Notamacropus eugenii: one gene and its partners. The protein of the gene in region 3 interacts with the protein of the main gene of each other region in a pairwise test. Links are inferred from orthologs where the notes say so. Each region holds a gene or a part of one and is shown on either strand. Other genes may lie near its edges. The genes, in order: ZBTB33, KCTD6 and CTNND1.

The links.
Region 1: the proteins of CTNND1 (region 3) and ZBTB33 interact in binary tests that used the Homo sapiens proteins (3 or more experiments, as listed by UniProt). The link is inferred for Notamacropus eugenii from reciprocal best matches to the Homo sapiens genes CTNND1 and ZBTB33.
Region 2: the proteins of CTNND1 (region 3) and KCTD6 interact in binary tests that used the Homo sapiens proteins (3 or more experiments, as listed by UniProt). The two-hybrid records come from large-scale screens. The link is inferred for Notamacropus eugenii from reciprocal best matches to the Homo sapiens genes CTNND1 and KCTD6.

The regions. Positions count from the first base shown.
Region 1 is NC_092879.1:43,638,508-43,646,533, reverse strand, and holds the start of ZBTB33 (transcriptional regulator Kaiso), read right to left. Parts: upstream 3,097-8,026; 5' UTR 2,967-3,096; intron 1-2,966. UniProt on the Homo sapiens protein: Transcriptional regulator with bimodal DNA-binding specificity.
Region 2 is NC_092874.1:466,814,891-466,822,233, forward strand, and holds the start of KCTD6 (BTB/POZ domain-containing protein KCTD6), read right to left. Parts: upstream 3,008-7,343; 5' UTR 2,893-3,007; intron 1-2,892. UniProt on the Homo sapiens protein: Probable substrate-specific adapter of a BCR (BTB-CUL3-RBX1) E3 ubiquitin-protein ligase complex mediating the ubiquitination and subsequent proteasomal degradation of target proteins.
Region 3 is NC_092873.1:3,341,936-3,348,999, reverse strand, and holds the start of CTNND1 (catenin delta-1), read right to left. Parts: upstream 3,001-7,064; 5' UTR 2,873-3,000; exon of another isoform or gene 2,768-2,872; intron 2,576-2,767; exon of another isoform or gene 2,506-2,575; intron 1-2,505. UniProt on the Homo sapiens protein: Key regulator of cell-cell adhesion that associates with and regulates the cell adhesion properties of both C-, E- and N-cadherins, being critical for their surface stability.

The DNA of each region.
Region 1 (8,026 bases), on a different chromosome or scaffold from region 3:
TGTAGAAATACAATCAGGATAACACAGGATCTGGCAGCTTCTACATCAAGGGGCCACAAGGCTTGGAATATGATATTTCAGAAGTCAAAGGAACTAGAATTAAAACCAAGAATCACCTACCCAGCAAAACTGAGTATAATATTTCAGAGGAAAAAATAGTCATTCAATGAAATAGAGGACTTTCCAGCATTCTTGATGAAAAAACCAGAACTGAAGAGAAAATCTGTCTTTCAAACATAAGAATCAAGAGAAGCATGAAAGGGTAAACAGTAAAGAGAAAACATAAAGAACTTTCTAAAGCTGAACTGTTTACATTCCTACATGGAAAGATAATATTTGTAACTGTTGAGACTTTTCTCAGTATTTGGGTAGTTGGAAGGATTATACACACACACACATAGACACATACAGATACAGAGAGAGAGCTCAGGTTGAATTGAATCAGAAAGGATGAGATATAATTAAGGGATGAGAGAGGAATATATTGGGAGGAGAAAGGGAGAAATGGAATGGGGCAATTTATAACTCATAAAAGAGATAAGAAAAATGTTTTCCAATGGAGGAGAAAAGGGAGGAGGTGAGAGGGAAAAAGTGAATCTTACTCTCATCACATTTGGCTTAAGGAGGGAATAACATGCTCACTCAATCTGGTATGAAAATCTATGTTACACTACAGGGAAGGAGGGGAGAAGGGGACAAGTGGGGTGAGAGGGATGATAGAAGGGAGGGTAAATGGGGGAAGGGAGTAATTAGAAGTAAACACTTTAGGGAAGGGTGAAGGTCAAATGAGAGAACAGAATAAAGGGGGAACAGGGTAGATGGAGGGAAATATAGTTAGTCTTACACAACATGACTATTATGGAAGTCTTTTGCAAAATGACACACATATAGCCTGTATTGAATTGCTTGCCTTCTCAATAAGGATGGGTGGGGAGGGAGGAAGGGAAAGAAGGTGGAATTCAAAGTATTAGAAACAAATGTTGAGAATTTATATAACTGGGAAATAAGAAATACACGTAATGGGGTACAGAAATTTATCTTACCCCATACAAGAAAAGAGAGAAGAGGGATAAGGGAAGGGTGGGGTGTGATAGAAGGGAGGGTACATTGAGGGAAGGGGTAATCAGAATGCAAGGTGTTATGGGGTGGGGGGAGGGATGAGATGGGGAGAAAAATTGGAACTCCAAATTTTGTGGAAATGAATGTCGAAATCTAAAAATATATAAATAAAACAAAAAAAATGAAACAATTTTTTTAAAAAACTGTTAAAGGGTTAAAGAAAGTAGATTTACAGAGGGCACTGAGTAATTTTTTTTTTAAAGGGGGCAGTAGGTCAAATAAGTTTGGGAACTTCTGGACAAGATGGTCAATAAATTCTACAATCCTAAGAAAATAATATAACGAACACACCATGCAAGCATGGAGTGACTTGTTCTCTACCACTATATCAAAGTTGTAACTTTTAAATGCAGAAATGAGAAGGCAATTCAGAAAATCTCCCAGAAACAGGGAGTAAAGTCTGGCCAAAGACAATAAATAGTAAAATCTTCATCTATACTTGACATATCTAGTCAGCAAAAACATTTTGAAAACTTGAAGATTTTTATAATAATAATATTAGTAATTATTAATATACTAAGATCAGGATAAACACCATCAATAAATCATACTGGTTTGTGAGGGAAAAAAATGTTAGCATCATGAATATTCTTTCCCGTCAGAGTTCTAAAGCAACATTCACGTGATGTAAGGTGCAGTTTTTCAAAAATCACCAGAATGTTGGCATGTCTGAAATGGCACAGATATTACTTTGTAGAGTATTTCTTGTTAATCCAACATCCAAAAGTTTCAGAGTAACATAAAGGCATCCAGAAGATGAAAAAGAGTGACTTCTGGGCTTTATGCCAACAATCTCAGATTCCTAAATGTGGGAATTTCAACACAGTAGTCAGTTTTTTAGTAGGCAGGATTTCCGAAAAAGGCCCTGCGACTTCCTGTGGTTCACAAAGGGGTCCTACTAAACTGGAAACAAGGAAAATTGACATTTACGGGAAACCCAGCAAGTTGGTGGAGTTCCATTTGTTTGTTTTTCTTGGGTTGAGAAATTGAGGATCTACAAGCAGACTTTGTGGAAAATCCCTGCCGCACAACCATTTTGTAACCAACCTTCTCGCTGGGGGGGGAGGGGGGGAAAGCAGAGGTGATGGAGGAGGGGGTGTAGAGAGGAAATAACACAGGATTAGATATGGGGAATCAAATACAGGAGATCACTGCAGCAGCTGAAACCTGTCTCCCTTCCTCCACCTGCTCTCCCACCCCCACCACCCCTCCATCCCCTACCCTCTGAGGCCAGTAGGTTGAAAGCAGGGTTTGCAACCTGCGTTTTCCTTCTGGAGGAAAAGTCTCACACCAGCTACCGGTGCAAGGTGGGGGACATGGGGTGGGGGGAGGTTAGGGGGGACCGAGGGCTGGGGGAGGGATCCAAGATCAGGCACATATAGAGAAAAGTACAAGCTAGTGAATAGAGTGGAAAGAGTGGTCGAGGGAGAGCAGATTGCTGGTGATTGAGAGAGGGAGGGAGGGAGACAGGAAAGCAGGCGGCATTGTTACGGCCCGGGAAGTGGCCCGAAGGGGCGAGCAGGGGAGGGGAAAGGGGGGAGGGGGGGAAGAAGCGCGGATTACGCCAGGGGGAAGCGGGAGAAAGAAGGAGCCACAGTCGGAAGGCTCCCTCTTGTCTGGCCCCGGGCCTAGGCGCAGAGAAACCTGTCCATCCGGCAGCCGCGTCCGGCACACAGCAACCCCCTCCCCTCCCCGAGGCCCCCCGCCCCGGCTCCGGGCGGGAGGAGCACCCCCCTCCCCGCACAAAGGAAAATCCCGAGGCGCAGAGCTGTCGCTTCCTGGTTTGTGCGAGGGGCCACCGGCCCAGCCCGGGCGGGCGAGCCCCTCTCAGCTCAGCCCTTCCTCACCTGGTCCCCAAGGGCCGCGGGCTCCGCGTCCGCCGCCGCCGCTGCTGCCGCCGCCGCTGCTGCCGCTTGGCTCCGGCTCCTCGTCCTCTCGTGCCACGGGAAGGCCGAAGCCCCGCTGCCAGCCCTCCGCCTGCTGCTCGGGCTCGGGAGCTGCCGCCGCCGCCGCTGCCGCCTCCACCGCCGCTACCTTCGCCTCCGCCGCCGCCGGAGCCAGCCTCGCCTGTGCTGCTGCCGCTCCGAGAGCCGGCAGGGGGCGGTGTGCGCGGGGCGCCGGGGGCCCCGGGAGCCAATGGCTGCCTCCTTCCGCGGGCTCACGCTGGCGGCCGGCTCTCCTTCCGGAAGCGCTTCCCGCCGGGCCGACCTTCTCCGCAGACTCGGGGCGCTTGTGCCTGGTGCTCCTGGGGCGAGGGCGGCTTCGGCGAGGGGGGGCGCCAGGCTCTCAGGGGCTCCTTCCGGGGCGGGGTGAGGGGGGCGCTCCCGGCGGCCCCTTCCGGGATGGAGTGGGAACGCTCGGCTCCCTTCGGCTACTCTCGGAAAGAGGGGGAGGGCGCTGGAGAGGGGTGGGCTCAGCCCCCGCCCAACTGGAGGGAGCCGTTCCCTCTTTCCTGAGACTGGGCCGGGCCAGAGGGCGGGGAGCCGTGGGCTCCTTTTCCCTCCTTCCGAAAGGGAGGGAAATGTTCGCTCCCGGCTCCCCGCTTTCCGCAAGGGCGGGGCCGCTCAGCTCCTCAGCGGGGACGGGGCGGGGGGTGGGGGGGGGGAGCGCGCCTTTTGCTACTTGCAGCTCCTTCCCTACGGGCGGGAAGCACCAACTAGAAAGCAACCGGGTCTCCTTAGAGTTCAGCGAGAGCTAGGGGTGCACTGGTCATAAACTTTTTGAATGGTGCAGTCATTAAAAAAAAAAAAAAAAGTTAGGCATGCATTCCCACACTATATCAATTTTGCCTTTTTAAAAGTTTATTTTATTTTTGAAGAAGTGCTTTATTTGGTATATTTAGAAATAACTGTGCATTATAAAACATACAACAAAGAAAAGATGCTGTAGGTTATATTTTAAATATCTTCATAAACACCATAAAGAAATGGGGGGAAAAAACCTCTTGGCCCTCCCTAAAACATCTCTTATTATTGTTCGTAATAATGATTGGTGATGATGTTACTGACAGCCACGTGATTGCTTTATTATTTCTAAAAATCTTGGTTTAATACTTTCGGATAACAGCGATTTTGAAGGTCTGGTTCTAAATTCAGTTTACATGGTTTTAGATGGGTGTCATCTCCATTAGACCGTGAGCTCCTTGAGAGCAGGGGCTGTCTTTTGTCTTTGTAGCCTCAGTTATTGGCACAATGCCAAGGATTAAGCACCATTGTTATTGCTCAGTCGTTTTCAGTTGTGAAGGACTCTTCAGTGACCCTATTTAGTGTTTTCTTGGTAAAGATGTTGCTTTTCCTTCTCCTGTTCATTTTACAGATGAGGAAACTGAGGCAAACAGGGTGAAGTGATTTGCCCAGGGTCACACAGCTAGGAAGTGTCTGAAACCAGATTTGAACTCAAGAACCTGAATCTTCCTGGCTCTCTATTTAGTGCAGCGCCACCTAGCAGCCCATTAAGCACCTTGCTTGTTGATTGACTAAAAAAAATTTCCTAAAAACACCTAGTTCCAACTAGAAGTGTTGGGGGACAGCTCTGGACCAGGGTCCCCCGTGAGGACCGTGAGACGCCTGAGGGTCCGAACCTGCCCCCTTGTGGGGTACTGGGATGGCCCTGGTAACAGGCTGGCTCCACCCGCAGGGAGGCACTTGGGAGGAGCTCGCCCGCCCATGGGAGGTACAGGGGAGGAGACAGGGATAATAAAAGGGGATGATCACAAGGGCTTAGAAGGAGAAGGAGAAGGGGAAGAAATGCAATAAAGCTTGCTGACTGCAACTCCTTTCGGGTGCTCTGCCTGTTTATTGCCCTCCCCCAACCGGGAGAGGGGCCGGAGACGTCCGAAGACCAGGTATCGGTAATTGGAGAGGCAAAGGCCCGGGTGTAAACCCCGGGCAGCTGGCGCCCGACGTGGGACCGCCGTAAGGAGAGGAGAATCCGCCTTTGCCCCGCTACTGCGGGAAGATTCAGGCAGCCTCAGTATTGAGAAGTGGCCTTGACCCGCTACTGCGGGAAGATTCAGGCAGTCTCAGTATTGGGAAGTGGCCAGGATGGGCCAGGGAAATAGTTTTCCCAACCTGAAGCCCGAAGATAAGGGAGTGCTTGCCTGTCAGTTGTATAAGCTTTGTAAGACCCATGGGCTTAAGCCCCACATCCGGGACTGTAGAGCATTTGTGGAAAAGATCTGGGATGTTTCCCCTTGGTTAGAATATTGTGGGCTACACCCAGCCAAATGGGGCGTAGTGGGACAGCAGATGGTCGCCTATGAGAAAGAGAGCCCTGGCGTACTAACAGAGGAGGACTTTACGTTCTTTCAAGTGGTCGCCACGCTTCTGCGTTCGGATCCCCGTCCCCCCGGGTGGTCCAACGGCGAGACCCAAACAGGGCAGTCCCTTCAAGGGACGACAGAAGAAGAAGGGGAATCCGATGAGGATAATACTGAGCCCCAGCCCTTATATCTATGGGGTATGTTAAGAGAATGTGCAGGCAGGGACCAGGACCGCGCCCTTCAAGACGGCGCACGGCTGAGCAAGGGGCGGGACTCTAGAGCCCCGAGGGGAGGAACAAAAGGGAAGTTTGATGAGGAAGGAACGCCCAAGAGGGAGTGGAAAGTCCCCTGGAAAGTCCCCGAGACAAAGGGCTCGTCAGAAGGAACCCTTAAGAAAGAATGGAAAGTCCCTGGAACAACAAAAGAGGGCAGAGGAATTCGCAAGAAGTTTCAACAGAGTTTAGGAACTCCCAATCCTTCTGAGATCGGACCTAATGCCTTCTCCTTCCCCCCAGCCGCCATGTCCTTGTCACAATCATCACAAGGATCGCGGTCATTTACCTACGGGCGGTCTGGGCCCTCGGAGCCTCTGAGCGTACTCACTCAGAGCCTATCCGCAGCTTTGGCGGAGGGACAGGAGGTAGATTTAGAGGAGTGGGAGGGGGCAGGCGCTTACCCTGTCATAGTGGAGCGGGATCTGATGGGAAATGAGAACCGTTTACATCGACCGGTGCCCTTCAAATTATTGAAAGAACTGAAGGAGGCCGTCTCCAAATACGGCCCTTTGTCACCTTATGTGAAACATCTCCTTGCAAATGCCACAGCCACTTGGCCATGGGCCCCAGCTGATTGGAGGGAGGTATCGGGGGCTATTCTTACACCAGGGCAGGTAGTGGCCTATGGCACTGCCGTTAGACGAGAGGCGCTCAGATATGTCAAGGAACACAATATTGCAGGGACAGAGGATGCTGTGAATATGATAACAGGGGCGGGGCCATACTCGCAGCTTGTTGACCAGCTCCAATTCGACCCCCAGGTGATGGCTGCAGTACAGTATTGTCATATTAGGGGCTTTGCCAAGATTGACGCCCCAGGGACTATGAGGGATAAGTTGGTAGGGTTAAAGCAGAGGGCTAGCGAGTCCCCTACTGATTTCGTGAGCAGTACCAACAAGCCCTTCAAAAATTACAACCTTAGTATGCACATCTGCCACGGATCCCTCAGACACTGATTTAGTTATAAGGCCTTGGCATACTGAAGGGATTGATGTGCCCCCCACTCCCTTTCCCCGCTTGGTGGTGGGACCCTCCGGCTATGTGCCATTCATAGTCCATACTCAATTGTTGTCCAGCGGGTCCTCCACGATTTATTTGACTAATCCGCATTGTTATCCTATAAATATTGCCCCAGGGACTCCCGTTGGGAGGGGCATCTCCCTGCCTTGGATTGAAGAGCCTGAGCAGAACACCCATCAAATTAATTGGTGCTCTCCCATTGTAGGCAATCGCCCCATGATACAGATTCTGGTTGAAGGGCGTCCAATCATGGGTCTGCTCAATACTGGAGCAGATGTGTCAGTTATTAATGCATCCCAATGGGACCCCAGTTGGGCGGTGAGCGGCGGTGCTACCCCGGTTGCTGGAGTAGGGGGTGCTAGTTCAGCGCTACGGGCTGCTAAACATTTGAGTTGGACCTTTGAGGATTATCAGGGATATTTTAGACCCTTAAAATTGGCCGGTCTTGCTTACGCCCTTTGGGGGCGCGACCTCCTCCAGCAACTTGGGTTACACCTTACCACTCCAGAACACCTTCAGTTAAACATGCTGGGGCCACCATAATGGTGAGCAGCCCGCCTATAACATGGAAAACTGAGACCCCTGTGTGGGTTGAACAGTGGCCCCTATCCCCCCAAAAGCTCACCGCCTTACGTTCCATAGTGGCCTCCCTTTTGAAACAGGACCGCATTGAGCCCACCACGAGCCCTTATAATTCTCCTGTTTTTGTTATAAAGAAGAAAATTGGATCCTGGCGCATGCTCATAGACATTAGAGAGATTAACAAATGCATGCTGCCTATGGGGGCACTACAGCCCGGTCTCCCCACTCCTGCTGCGATCCCCCGAGATTTTACTATGACAATCATTGATATCAAAGATTGTTTCTATAGCATTCCCCTACACCCACAAGATAGGATCAAATTTGCCTTTTCCATCCCTTCGGAAAATCGCCAGCAACCATATGAACGGTATCATTTTACCGTGCTCCCTCAAGGGATGGCAAATAGCCCTACCATGTGCCAAATGTATGTCCATGCTATCCTCTCTCCACTTAGACAGCGCTTCCCCAAGGCCATTATCATTCATTATATGGATGACATTCTTGTTGCTACGCCTAGCCATGATTCCACAATGGCCCTTACTCAGCTTATGATTGATACCTTAGCTGCCCACGGGCTGACTGTGGCTCCAGACAAAGTACAGACCACACCCCCTTTTCAGTATCTTGGTTATGAACTAAAACAAGGGCGAATTGCTCGCCGTCCTCCGAGCATTGATCTCTCTCAGCCCTCCACTCTCAATGATTTTCAAAAGCTGATTGGCGCTATACAGTGGATGCGGGCAGTTATCCCTATTCCCGATGGTGATCT
Region 2 (7,343 bases), on a different chromosome or scaffold from region 3:
ACAAGAATAAATTTCCAACATCTGCACATACCTTCAAAATTACCTCTGTACTCAGTTTCTCAGTTATAGAACCATGTGGGAGTTTAAAAGTAGAATACTTTTTATAGCAACTAGTTCAGAGAAATCTAAAGAGTCCTTCAGGTTAACATACAAGCTAGCACAGGCAGCCACTGCATCTTGGGGTGGGGGGGAATGTTTTTATATTTATAACAATAGGAACTGGCTTGTGATTTCATTGGTATAAGGAACTCCCAGGTGTGGACACTCCCTCCCCTCATGAAGTTCAGTCCCTTCTCTGTACCTTAGTGTCAGAGAGCTATCGTGGCACAAGGCTAGGTGAAGGGACATCCACGTGGCAGTGACAGCTCTCGAGCCAAAGTCCTTCTGGCTGTGAGACCTGCTGACCATCCACTCACTACTATGCTGCCCCACAGAAAGCATGCTTCAAAGCTTACAAACATGACCTTGGGATCTTGGCCATAGCCTCGAAAGGCAGGCAGGTACACTGGTAGCATCACCTGCATTTTTACTGAGGCTCCAAGAGTTGAGGTGACCCTGAGTCACACCCTAGAGCTATGGGACATGGGTCTGGAGTCCTTGCAGTCTCTCCTGGTTCCAAGCCACAGGGGAGCTGTTAGACAGTACTGTGAAGATGGCACTATTCTTAAAATCTTTTTTCTTTAGCCATTCATCACCACAGTGCAGTCTAGCAGAACAGGCTAGTTCCAGCATCACTAACTTGATGGGTGAGAGGAAATTAATTCCCAGCACTGAGGCACCTCTATTTCTCTGATGATAAAATAGGAATACAACCTTTCCTCCCCGCTGCACATGGATATTAGGGGAATACATTTTGGAAACAGGATGATTTCCTTCCTTTTCAGTTCTGTATATGAAAATGATGATTAAATGGTTGGGGGGAGGGGAGTGAGTAAGAAGTTTGTTTCTGTTTTTAAGTACCATATCATCTTTATCATCTTTCCATGTAGTACATAACTTCACTACATGAAATTTCTGTAATACGCTGAAGGCCTGAGTTAAGAGAGGGACCACAGAGCTCTCTAGCTAACAGACCAGGAGTAAGGGACTGCAGCGCTGCCTCTGTTTTCCCCATCCGGGCTCTTCTAAGGGGCTGCAAGGTCCCCCAGAGGGACCTCCAGATGGTAGCCTCATCAGAATTGGGGGGGCCCCACTAGCCCAAAGTATATACTGTTCAGGAAGACTGCTATGGCAAAAGTGGTTCCACAAAAGAAGTCCGAAGCCAAGCAAACCCTAAGTGTGAAAAATCCAGATAAAAGAAGATGATGACTGTCCTCCCCAGATTCCTTTAAATTGCAAGTTCTTGTACAATTACAATGTGATTATATTTACACAAAACTTCGCAGAAGCAGTACCTAGTACTGGTTGGTGCCCAATCGTGGATGCCTTGGTCTTACTGCATAATACAAATACCTGTATGGATTATTAGCTAGCCCAAGAACAATTTTCTCAGCTATGCTAAAAGGAACAAGGCCTTCTCCCCAAATAAAAGGCTGCTTTCCTTTAGCTATACACTCATTCATTCATTCATTCATTTAAAACACCCAGCCTTTACTTCTTGATAACCTACTGCTCACTGGGTTTTTTTTCTATTTTGGGCATTTGTGATAGAAAATTAGTATCTCTGAAAAAGGGAAGATCAATAAGGGCAGCCATGAGGCACTTAATTAATGTTTCATGACACCATGAAGCCTCGCTGGCAATAGGCGGTCCAAGCCTACTTGCTGCATTAGTGACTACACAAAATGCTGGACAGAGTTCTCATCCCCACCCTTAATCCAGCTCAGGGCTGCCTAGCTTGTCACCCCAATCTTAAGGAGAATGCAGTCTTTTAAACCACTCAGAACTTCTCTCAAGGCTCTCACCGAGGTGCCAACAGAGATCAGCACCCAGGAGGGTGGGTCTCTTCATCCTGCGAGACTCTGGGTCCAGGGGCACCACAGATCCTCCACCAGGATCTAGCACCCCCCTGAAGGCCCTCCCCTGGGCCCCTGCCTTTTGTGGGCACCGGTGCTGCCCTGGGGCCACCCTGGGGGGGCCCCACTCTCACCATACAAAGTTCTACACCCCCAAGATCATGGACATCCTACATAAAGGGCAGCTGGCACCGATGCCAGCCACAACGACTGTCCTGCCATGGCCCGGGGGCCAGCGGGGCTCGGACCCGGGCTGCCGGCCTCCCTCGGGGCCCCGCTCCTCGTGTCCGTGCCCAGCTCCCTGCCTCATTTTCCATCCTCTGGTACCCAGAATGTTAAAGAAGACGCGCAAGTGCTGGATAAAAGGCCGGCGGCCGGCCGGCCGGACGTCTGCACGTCTGGTCAGGATGCACAGCGTCCTGAGGGAGAGATCCGGACCGGCCACGGCCCGGGGAGCCTCGGGGCCTCGGACCGGACCGGCTGCGGCACCGGCCGCCGGGTCCCACGGCCCGGCCCGCCCAGGCCGGGATGGGGGGGACCCGCCCCGCATCCCGCCCCGCATCCCGCCCCGCATCCCGCCCCCCCCGCCGGCCGACCCCCGCCTGCTCCGGGGCGCTCCCCCCCGGGGGTCTCCTGCCCCCGCTCCTCCACAAGCCCCCTCCTCTGGGGAGCTCGCCTGCCGGGGAATCTCCTTCCCCCCCCGCCCCTCGACGTGCCCCCCCGGGGTCTCCTGCCCCCCGCTCCTGCCGGGGTCTCCCCGGCACGTCCCTGCACGCCTCCAGGGGAGGGGGCGCATCCTCGTGGCCCCCCGCTGAGGGGCCCCTCCCCTGAGCCCAGACCCCCTCCAACTTTCCTGGGGGGAGGGCAGGGGTCCTCCGAGGCCCCCCTGCTTGCCCAGGTCGTAGGAGGGGGGTCCCCAGCCCCCTGCCGCACTCACCGCCGCAGTCGAGGCCAGGCCGGGCCGGGGCGGGAGGGAGGCGGGCCGGGCCGGGCCGGGCCGGGGACACAGCGCCGCCGCTCCCGCTCCCGCCGCTCCCGCCGCTCCCGCTGCTCCCGCCGCCGCCGCCGCCGCCGCCGCCTCCAGCCGAGCGAGCTGCCGCCGAGCGAGCGCGGGCGCGGGGTTCGCGGGGGCGCGCGGGCGCGGCACGGGCAGGGCGGGCGCGCTCCCGCGGGGGCGGCGAGGCTCAGCCGGGCCTGACGGGAGCGCGCGGGCGAGAGCGAGCGGGAGGGCGGGGAGGAGCGGCGGCCGCCTGCGCTCGGCTGCCCCCTGGCGGATCCTGGCGGCGCCGCAGCCCTCCCCGCCGCCGCCGCTCCCCTCCTCCAGCACCAGACCCAGGAGCCGGGAGCCAGCCCGGCTGGGAGACAGCGGTGGGGGCGGGGCCTGGAACTGGCCGTGGGAGCTCCCTGTGTGTGTGTGTACATGTGTGTGTGTGTGTGTACATGTGTGTGTACATGTGTGTACTGTGCACGCGTGTGTGTGTGCAGGGGGTGCGGGTGTGTGTGCAGGGGGTGCGGGTGTGTGTGCAGGGGGTGCGCGTGCGGGTGTGTGTGCAGGGGGTGCGGGTGTGTGTGCAGGGGGTGCGCGTGCGGGTGTGTGTGCAGGGGGTGCGCGTGTGAACGGGGGTATCCGGGTAGGCTCATCCCCGTGCTGCAGCAGCCCCCCTCCGCCTCCTGCCCCCGCACTGCCCAGCGCACGCACCCCCACTCACGCCGCAGGCTCCCCGCACCCCGCGTTCCTGGCCCTTCTCCCCAAGCCCCAGGCGGGCGGGGGCCGCGCTGCCCAGTGGTCAGGATCGCAGCTCTCGCCAACGGGCTGCGATGGAGCCTCGGGCGGCACCCGCTAGTGCAGGGCTCAGCCGAGTGGGAGAAGACCACCGACCCCGAGTCCCAGCCTGCCCGCCCTCCGTAGGACCTTGGCGGAGTCACTGCCGCGCTCCAAAGAGCGCTCGGGACTGGGCAGCCTGTAATCTAGGGCTCTATACCGTCGGGGGAACCTCTCTATCCCCACCCACCGACCCCTGCCAGAGGGTGCCCTCCAGCCCGGCATAGAGCCTCAGCCCCAGGGGAGCCTCAGCCCCTGCTTGACGGGTTGACCTGGGGTTACACCTTAGAGGTTTAGCCCGAGCCCAGATGTGACAGCTGAGCAGACTGCCAAGAGGAGGCCCCAGGAAGCCCCTGCCTCCCGCGGGGGCGGGGGGGGGGGGGGTTCCCGGGCTCCCAACAGCAGCACTTATAATGGCATTTCAGCTGCATTAATAGGTAGAGTATGTAGAAGGCTGAACCAGGTCTGCAAGACCTGAGATCAAATCCTGCCTCGGACAACAGCTGGCTTTGTGACCCTGGGCTGGCAGCTCACGAAACTTTGCTTGACTCAGTTTCCTTATCTGTAAAATGGGGCTAATAAGAGCACCTACCTCCCAGGGTAGTGGTGAGGACCTTATGAGATAACGTCTGTCAAGTGCTTCGGTAAGCTGGTCGCGCTGAACTAATGTAATTGGTTATGATTCTGGGCAAGGCCGGCCCAGAAGCTCTTTTTTCTCAGAAGATGCCCGCAGTACCAAATGCTCCCACCTCCTCACTGGCAGACGGCTAGATCTTCTCTAATAAATACCCAGAATATGGGGGAGAAGCTGTGCCCGGGCCTCCTCTCTTGGTCAGAAATGCTTAAAATATTCTGTAACACTCATTTCAGTTCAACAATCTCATGCCCCCAGACTTAACCCTCTCAGCTCTGAAATTCCCACCATCAAAGTTTACTTCATGGAGTGAAGAAATAAGGAGAAATGATTCATTGGATAGAAGCCAGTATATTCATGCACCAGGCTATGTCCAGGCGGACCCCAGAAAGGTTTCCAGTCCACCCCACCAACCCTTGCTGCCCTGCCTCCACCCACCTCCCAGCTCTGAAAATCTACCCATTTGTCCTCACTCCTGAAAAGGACCCATCAGTCTCTTCCCCCTAGACTCCCATCCTCATCCCTGTGCCTTCCCAAAGTCCACCCTGGTTTCCCCTCCTCCTGTGGCTTCCTCCCTCCCTATTGGAAGAGCAGGCCCCCTGCTATTTGTACCCTCAGCCCTGAGCAAAGGCTTAGCGGGTCCTGCTAAGAGATAAGGAAGGGACTCGTGATGTTACTGATGGAGAATGGCTCCCACTACCATGGCAGGTTGAGGTAAGTCGACAAGCATGTGTAAGTCACCTACTATGTGCCAGGCACTGTGCTAAGTATTGGGCATACAAAGAAAGGGCAAAAGATAGTCCTCCAAGAGCTCACAGTCTTAATGGGGGAAGAAACCTGTAAATAAATGTGCACAAACTATGTGTATGTGTATACATACATACAAAAACACATGCACACAGATGTATAGGTGTTGAGTAAATAAGCAGTTACTGGGGAAATCCAGAATCTTTTCCTTTTTCCTATTTCAAAGTCCAGACTTTCAAAGAGACCTCTGACCTTGCCCCAAAAATTATACCTCTAGACCATCTTCTTTAGGTGGAAATGTTGCCCCACCCAACTAGAAAACCTTACAAAGAAAGTGGAATCTGGGTGAAATCCAGATTATTGTGTTCCTCCGGCAGGTCTGTGTGATCAGTCATGTCCCCCAGCCCCTCATTAGAATAGGTCCACCTCTCATTATCATGTTCATTATTGTTAACCAATCAGAGTTGATTGCTGCCTGCCAGGAACACCCATTCTTCCAAAGGCATATAAGTGTCCAGAAGCCACCAGAGGTCTTTGGCATTCAAGAGTGCCACTCACCCCTTTTATTAATTATCTACTAGCAATAATTAATAAAATGAGCAATTACCCAGAAACTATGTCTTTAGAATTTTTTATATATCACAGTATGTATTCATGCACACAAATATCCATAGGTGTGCATGCATGCACACAAATATACACTTGTATACATATGTACACAAGTATGTGCATGCACACAAATATAGACTTGTGTGTATTCATGCAAGTATATATACATGCATAATTATATGCATTGCAAATAGCCATTTGTGCATATACATGCCTACACGTATACATGCATTCATGGGTACATATGCATAAGAGCACATTGGTGACATTCACTGCATGGATGTCAATGGAGCATGCTGGCTGCCTATGAGCTCTCCCTCATGGGTAACCAACCCAGCCATTGTAAATGTCACCAATTTCACCGATGACGTCCTTTACAGAAGACTCTCCTTCCTGATTATACTATCCAGCCATGCTCACTGCCACCATGGACCTTTTTATCACCCTGTGGGTGAACTTTGCCTACATTTCTCCAGAGACTGTAATCGTTTCTTTTGGCCTAGAAAGCACAGTGAAAAAAATCAGAGAAAACAACTTGGTCTCCCGGGCAGAAGAAAGAAGCTTCCTACTAATTCAAGACAGAGAAGAACAGGTTATTCAGGGAGAGACTGAGCCCTCCCTCCCTGCAGATCTACAAGCAAAGGCTGGCAGATTACTTGGAAGCTATGTTGAGGTCATTCTCTTTCAAGCACAACGAGACTATGTGGCCCCTTGGGTCCTTCCTGACCCTGACACTCTGAGGTCCACAGGACATCCCTTCAAGCACCCGAGGTCAATAATCATGTGAGCGCTATTTCTGCTCCTCTCCAGACTAAACATTCCCAGTTTTTCCAATGTATTCTCATGTGATAAGGACTCGAGACCCATCACAGTCCTAATTTGGACACCCTTTGGTGTCAGTTTCATTAGAATCCTTCCTAAACTGTGGTGTCCAGAAATGAACACAATATTCCCAATGGTGTCTGACCAGGGCAGAGAACAGTGATTTCCTTATTCCTGGAAGCAATGACATAGATCCAAGGTTGTTAGAGTGTGGTGCGGTGACCCCTAACCCTTTCAGGAGGCCAGAGATTCTACTTCTGGAGGAGTCAGAAGGATGTGTAGTGCAAGGGCCATGTAGAGACTTGAACATGCTTAGTCACTCTGTGACTGGTTCTGGTCTGCTAACCACATGATTAGGAAGAATCTTTCCAATTGGCCTCATAGCTAGGACTAAGGAAATCTTCAAAAAGGCCTGAGTCAGCTTTGGTCCAAGCTCTTCACCTCATCCCCTTTAGTTGAACTCCTTGGATCATGATGAGAGACAGGTTCTGCTATAAGCAGAGGAGAGACCTTGGGTCTTTTAGTCAAAGTCACATGGTTCTGAGAACAGGCTTCAGTCCTTGGCTTATGCATTTGGTCCGTTCCTTCTCAGGTGAAGGGATTAGAGCCTGGAACCTTGTCGGCATCACATGATCTAGACTGGAGCATCTGAGCTTCCCACAATCTGAGTCTTGTAGCCAGCTCAGCATCCATACTCAGAGGAGTCAACTTGGGGAGTGACCTTCAGGACTGAGCCCCAAAACAGCTAAAATGC
Region 3 (7,064 bases):
TTACTAGGGTTTGTTTGTTTTTTTTAAACTACCCCCTAGAAATGGCAGCAGTCTTGGCCTGGGAAATGGAAGTAAAAGGGGAACCTGCTACCAGAAGAAGGATATAATGATTTCTTCAGGGCAACACAAAGTCTCTTAATGAGCCCGTAGAGGTCCATTTCTTTCCATCTATTCTATCTTCTCTTTTGAAAGACTAGTTACATTCACAAGACTGTCACCTACATCTCTTCAGGGAATAGGACAACCAGGTTTTAATTTTAACTACTTGGAACTGGTAGTAGAAACTCTAAATTCCATGTCAGATAAAGGCAAATTTTATAATTCCATTTCTCTATGGCCTAAGAAAATACAATTATGGGATTTACCCCCAATTCAGTTCCAACACTGCTAGAAAAAATAGAAGCCTGACAATACCCTGCCTTCTAGGAGATTTCACAAGAACAAAGGTCACTGGATCACTTATCAAATGGACCATTAATACAAAGGTGAAAACAAAACATAAAAATATGCCTACTTAGCCTACCGCTCAAACTGGAGGGCATTCCCCTCACTTCCAAAAGAGGAACCCGACGGTACCCTTCTCTGGAGTTCCAAACCTCCTACAATTCTTGAATATAGGAGACAGAAGACAAGTCTGCTTCCTCATCTAAAACAGGCCAATGACAACATCTAGAGCTGCCTCCACTAACTCTGGACCAGAGATTTCTTAATCTGGGGTCCATGGACCAAAGAATATATTTCAAGGCGGGGGGAGGGGGGTCTCTGGGGGAAAAGTTCTGTTTTTACTAATGTCTAACTAAAATTGGCATTTCCTTCAATTATTAATTTTTAAAATTATGCTGAGGAAGTCAATAGGCTTTATCAGATTGCCAAAGGGGTCCCATAGCACAAAAAATGTTAAGAACCTCTATTCCAGATACTTACTTGGATCCTACCATCACTGTGCGGTGTCCATCCACCAATCACCACTACCCAGTCTTCAAAAGCCTATTTTCCATTTTCAAAATGTCTTTGTAATCTTTCTCAACAGATACCCACTTAAAGGTTTAGAGGGATAATGGGTCAACTAGCAATTCTGATCAGTCATCCAAAAATGTATTTAGAACCTCAGGCTGAAGCCAAGGCAGAAAAAGGGAGATGAATAGCGTCCAAATTCTTCTAGCCCTATTCAAATAAAGACACAGTCGAAAGGGCTGAATCAATCATCTCCTAGGATATTCCCCATAAATGTGCCATCCTTTCTTTTTAAATTTAGACTGCAGAGTCAAGGAAGAAAGAATTGATAAGGCTTATAGGAACCACTCCACTTTGGTCCTGGCATAAAGAAGAAATTCCATTTTATTTTGAAACCCCTAAAGCAAGTAACTCCCTCAACACTCCAGTTTTGCATGCAAAAACATTTTCAGGGAAGTTTTCTAATTAAAAAGGGAAGGAAATAAACATACATGGAACTTTTAAAGGTATGATAGTTTAGGTACTAAAGGCCACTAAATTAAGGCCCATCTTGTTGCAATTAGGTCAAGAATATAATTGCATGTATAGTTTTTAGAGTAGCTCTGATTGTTAAAAGGGCAAAGGGAGAAGAGGAAGTCTAAGTCTTTAGCTAATGATCTGACTACATGATCATCTAAAATTTTGTTGAAGTACATATAAAAAAGTACTTCACAAATAAAAAAGATTTAAAACAAGGGAGGGGAAAGTCAGTGGCCTACAATGCTACGAAAGTTCTGATCTTTTAGGAAATCAACTAAAAATCTACTCACCTACAAAACTAAACTTCAGTTTTTTAAAAATATTTTTCCTCTTAAAATTCATCAAATGAATTGGAAATTCAAGTGTGTAACAGTTTTCTGTTCACCTTGTCTAACCTCTCATTTCTAAATAAATAAAAAGCTAAGATCATTTCTAAACTATTTTTCTCCTTCACTCAAGTAAACTAAAAGACCTCCTAATTCCAAAACTCTCGTAACAGTTTTTGCAGATTTTCGGAAGTAGGGGTGAAAGTCTTATCAACTTAAGGTAGTTTTAAGAAAAGGGAAATGTAGTCCATGAGAATCCATTTGTTTTCTTTTAAAAGGCAAGGCAGCAGGGCCAGTACAAGAGAAAGAGGCTCCCACCCACTGCACCTGGAAAAGTAAAAAAACGGGATCCACCCAGGAACATGAGGCTGAAACAGAGTACGGGAGTTTAATCACACTCTTGGGTGGGGAGCGGGGGGAGAGGAGTGGGAAGCCACTACCACAGCTTAAGCTGCAAATCTCCTTGCAACTTTCCACGTCCACAAACAGGGCAAAAAGTAAAATAAGTTTTAAAACATATGAAAAGCCATCTACGAAACCAGCTTTCGACCTGAAGACAAATTCCTGTCTCAACCCACACAATACACCAAAACCCAACTTTGAGAATTTTGTTACCAAAGGTTATGTAAATATGTTCACTTAGACCTAGAAAGCAATGAACAGTCAGAAAGTACACCAGCAGACAAATTCACAGGACTGCTCTTACCCCTCAGGAGCTGCTCAACTAGCTCCCAGCGCTGGAGACCCAGAAGTTTTTCCTTCTCCTTGCTGTTTTGCTTTGAAAAATAAAATTAAAAGTAGCAAAAATTGAGAGGAAAAAAATGTTTTAAAATTAGCCAGCCTAGCTGAATTTCTCCCAAACATCCAGCACCTTTTGAAAATCCCTCTAGTTAGCAAAAATTAAAAATTCAACTAGATAGCCTATCATTCCCCTCCTCTGGACACATTACACAGACACAGACACACACCTCGTTTGCAGACTTCTAAAAAACAATCCTTTACAAAAAGGAACCCCAATCCTTGCCAGTACTGCCGAAAAAGACAAGGACAATAGTGTATTAATTTTTCTCCACCTCTTTCTCCTTTACGGCTCGTTCCTCTTCTTTCTTTCCTTCTCTCCCTCTTCTTTTTTTTTCTTTCCTCTCAGATCCAACACCTAAAATGGAAGTTGCACCCAGCCAAAGGCAAGGGAGGCTGGGTGGTGACAAACTGGTCTGCCAGCCCTACCCCCTCGCTTTCCTAAGTGATGTCAGCCTTTGAGCACTTCCAATAGAAACCTGGCATAAATCAGGGAGCTGACCTTATCCAATAGGAAACTTTATTATAGGAATTAGAAAAAAAAAAAAAAAAAGAGAGAGACAGAAAAAGACACAGAACTTTTAAAAATACATATGCATATATATAATATGTATATCTACATGTATATTGCAAAAGCAAAGGATATACAATCCTAGAGGAAGTATGGCAAGGGCTGAGCCTGAATGGAAAAAAAGTGTTTAGTTTTTTGAGTTTTTAAAAAAATCATTGCATAGAAAAAAGCTTAAGCTATTTCCTGAGTTCTCTTTGAGGATGGGACTGTTGAGGATTTTGCGTATGTCTCCTCAAACCCTTTCCCCCTGCTTTCAGATTGTAGGGGATGTCCAGGCATCTGTCAATAAATAATAATAAATAAATAAGCTGTCGATTTATATATCGATTTTTTTTTTGTTATTAACTATGGGGGAGGGAGAAAGAATGAGACTGTACTTAATCCATTTATGGGGAGACTGGGAGGGGTCTTCTTTGAGGTAAATCTCAATTCCATTGTTTTAATTTTTTAAAATTGAAACTGATTCCTGGGCTGAATAGTTTCTTTAGTATAATCGGTCTTTGTTCTTCCAATCAAAAAATGTGTGAACCATACAGAATATAGAAGGACAAGTGATGTAGACTAAAAAACTACCCAGATAAATCAACTGAGAAAATCTCAGAAAGATAACAGTATATGTTTTTTGGAACTGTTGGCAGAGTTGGCCTCATGATTGCTAGTTTATCTCACACTGGACTACACAAAAAACTGTTTACATTCCTTTTTTTTTTAAACATATTGATATGTCTAGCATAAATGACGCTCTTAAAATGTCAGGTCCTAAAGGGCAGGGGTTGTTAAGTTTCTGGTATAGAATCCAGCACACAGAATTTAATATTCACTGAATATTAAGTTATGTGAGTTGAAAACTTCCTTTTCATTCTGAAAGGAAAAAAAAATCCCAATATCTGCGAACAATAACTGACAATTTCAGATTAATTCTACTTTCAATACAGGTTTTCTCGTCAGATTTCTCCCCACCCGGTAAAATCTTTTAGCAGCACCCTAGGGGACAAAGTGCATTACCGTGGGCCCAGCCCTTCACAATCTCACCCCACCCTACCTGCCCAAGTTTATCTCATAGATCCCAGGCAAGAACCCGCCCTGCCAGGAAGGTTAATCTTGTCACTATTCCTAGAACAGCCCCTCAATCATTTCGGCTCCCACGGCTAGACTGGATATTTCCCTAAACTAATTTTTTCTTCCTTCTTCTCAGACACTCTAAATCCCAACCATCTGTCAAGAACCAATTCAAGAGTTAGGCCCCACCTCTTTCACAAAGCATTCCTAACTATGCCATATTGCTCTTTGAACCCTGTATAATAGAACCAACACACGAATATTAAACCTAGTCCCATAGTGTGAAATGCCTGGGCCTAAGATTTTTTTTACAGGAATGGGGAAAAAAGCATGACAGAAAGGAATGACGACTTGGATAGGTTTGAAAAGAACAGTATGAGGATTTCGTTAGATAAAGGAACATAGGACTGAGAGCTAAGGAGACCTTAGAGATCATTCTAGGGCACTTTTATTTTATGAAAGAGAAAATTGAAGCTAAGTTAGTAAAGTGAAGTGAACTGCTCAAGGTCACAAATTCTTTAAGTGACAGAGCATCCTTAAAATCCAGATTCTTAAGATTCCCAAACTAATACTTCTGGTTGTCTCCTGAGAAAGAAATGTACAAATCTAAAACATAGTGAAATGGCAATCGATAAACAGCATTAAGAATTGATAATCACAATACATTGCACATAATAAGCAATAAATGTTACTTGAATGATTCACTGATATCCTACTAGACCAAGACGGCTGCCTGGAGAAAACAGAAAATATTTAAAGGAAAACAGGATATGACACCGTATATTACTGTACTTAAAAAACTGCTTCAGATTAGCTCAGATAGAAGAGGTCACATGAACTGAGGGCTGTCTCATGAAAGTGCATAACAAAGAAATCTGTTTAAAAGTGGCTTTATTTGAAATTTCCAAGTTAATCTGCAGAGAATGAAGAGGACATTCATGAATTTGTAAATAACATTAAAATAAAGACACATAACAGATCACCAAATAAACACGGTAACAAAAAAATTTAATTAAATGTATCTAACCTGCACTTCTAAATAAAGATTGCTAAGCACTGAGTGGAAACCACCTCTATATTAAATTAGAAAAGAATGAGGGGTGGGAGGCTGCTTCATAATATCTTCTATTTCTTCATCTATATACATGTTTTATTCCCCCAAAAGAATGTAAACTCTTTTTTCTTTTGGTCTTTTAGACCAGGTTCATCGCATATAGCAGGTGCCTAATATCTGCTGAACTGGATTAAATACAAAAAGAATCAAAGTTGTATTACGAGCACATACAAATTCTCTGCTTGAGTCTTAAAAATACACAGAATATATTTTTCATTCAACTTCAAAACTCTCTAAGGCTTACAGAACCATCACCAACAGGTACACAGAATGATGATTTAAATTGGTGAAGTAAAGATTAGGAAGAAATTTTAAAAGTAGAGAAAGGACTGATAAAAATAAAATAAAACAAATAAAATAAAATCACCATCTATTCATCTGCATATAAACAACTATACTATATTAGCCAACTCTGGAAATCTACATTAAAGAGATTAATAGCAAGAAGTAGAGATTAACAAACATTCAATCTGAAGAAAGCATTGGATAAATACATACACACAAAAAATGCCCTTTTGGTTACTAGATATCACCTAAAACGTATGATTTTTGAGATCCTGAGAAGGGCTATGATGTGCCATTTCCTTTAAAAATTCTGCTGACCCGGGATGAAACTGTAGTTATGCTAGCTAGGATAAAAGTATAAAAGATGACTGTTATAATTCTTGGTACTTCGCTTTGCCCTCATAGTAACGTTTCCAAGAAGATAAAGCAAAGATAATCTTAATCTTTGTTCAAATTTCAACCCTATCTCGTCACTGGAATGCCACTGTCTGAATCATCTAGGGATACTACAGTGAGACATTATAAACATTTAGGGTTCTGTCTTATGTCTGTTTTTTCCTGCTGGCTCCATCTAAATCCATCCTCCTTCTGTTCTATTTCCTCTCAATTTTCCTGCTTCCTCAAAAAAAAACCAAACTCTTCTCAGATTGATATTCTCAATTTGGAGAAATTTTTGAAAATATTGATTACACAATGGAAGAGACTTTAGAGATCATCTAGTCCAACGGTGTTAAACTCGAGCAGGATCCCTGTGGGGTGTATATTGATTTTGAAAACCACAAATTAACATTATATTGTACTGTATTTTTATTTTTTTTAAACATTTCCTTTTTATCTGGAGCACTTAGAGGCCATAAGGTTACTAACTTCCTTTTACAAATGAGGAAACTGAGGCCTAGACAAAGCAAGGTGTCTAAGGTTATAAGATTCAAATATAGATAAGTCATAAAAGAGCAGTAATCACAGCAATTAAATCAATATTACCATTCCTCAGAGCACCTGCCAGTCATCAGAAAACCCCTCTGGGGCCACACAGTCCTCTGTGTGTACTGTCTTCTTCTATCGACTCTTGGAGGACCGAGAGCTTGCTCGCTTATATATATTTTACATTTATATATATTTATATTTTAATTTTATATTTATATCTCCAGCACTTAGCAGCAAGTACTTCCTTTTTTAAAAATTTAATTAAAATTCCAATTCAAGCAAGCTGCCTCCCATTCTAATTCCTTTTCTATTTCCACCTTGTTCCCTTTTCCATTCTGCCCTACATACTCACCCTGGTGCTTTGATCTCTGGACATCTCCCTTTTCTATCAGCAGTCCTCCTCCAGTGAAGCCGCACCCCTGGGGATGCCTGGATCAGCCTTTTTCGGTTTCAGCCACACTGCAGGAGACAGAATCACAGAATGTCAGAGACAAGGCACCTTGGAGGTGGC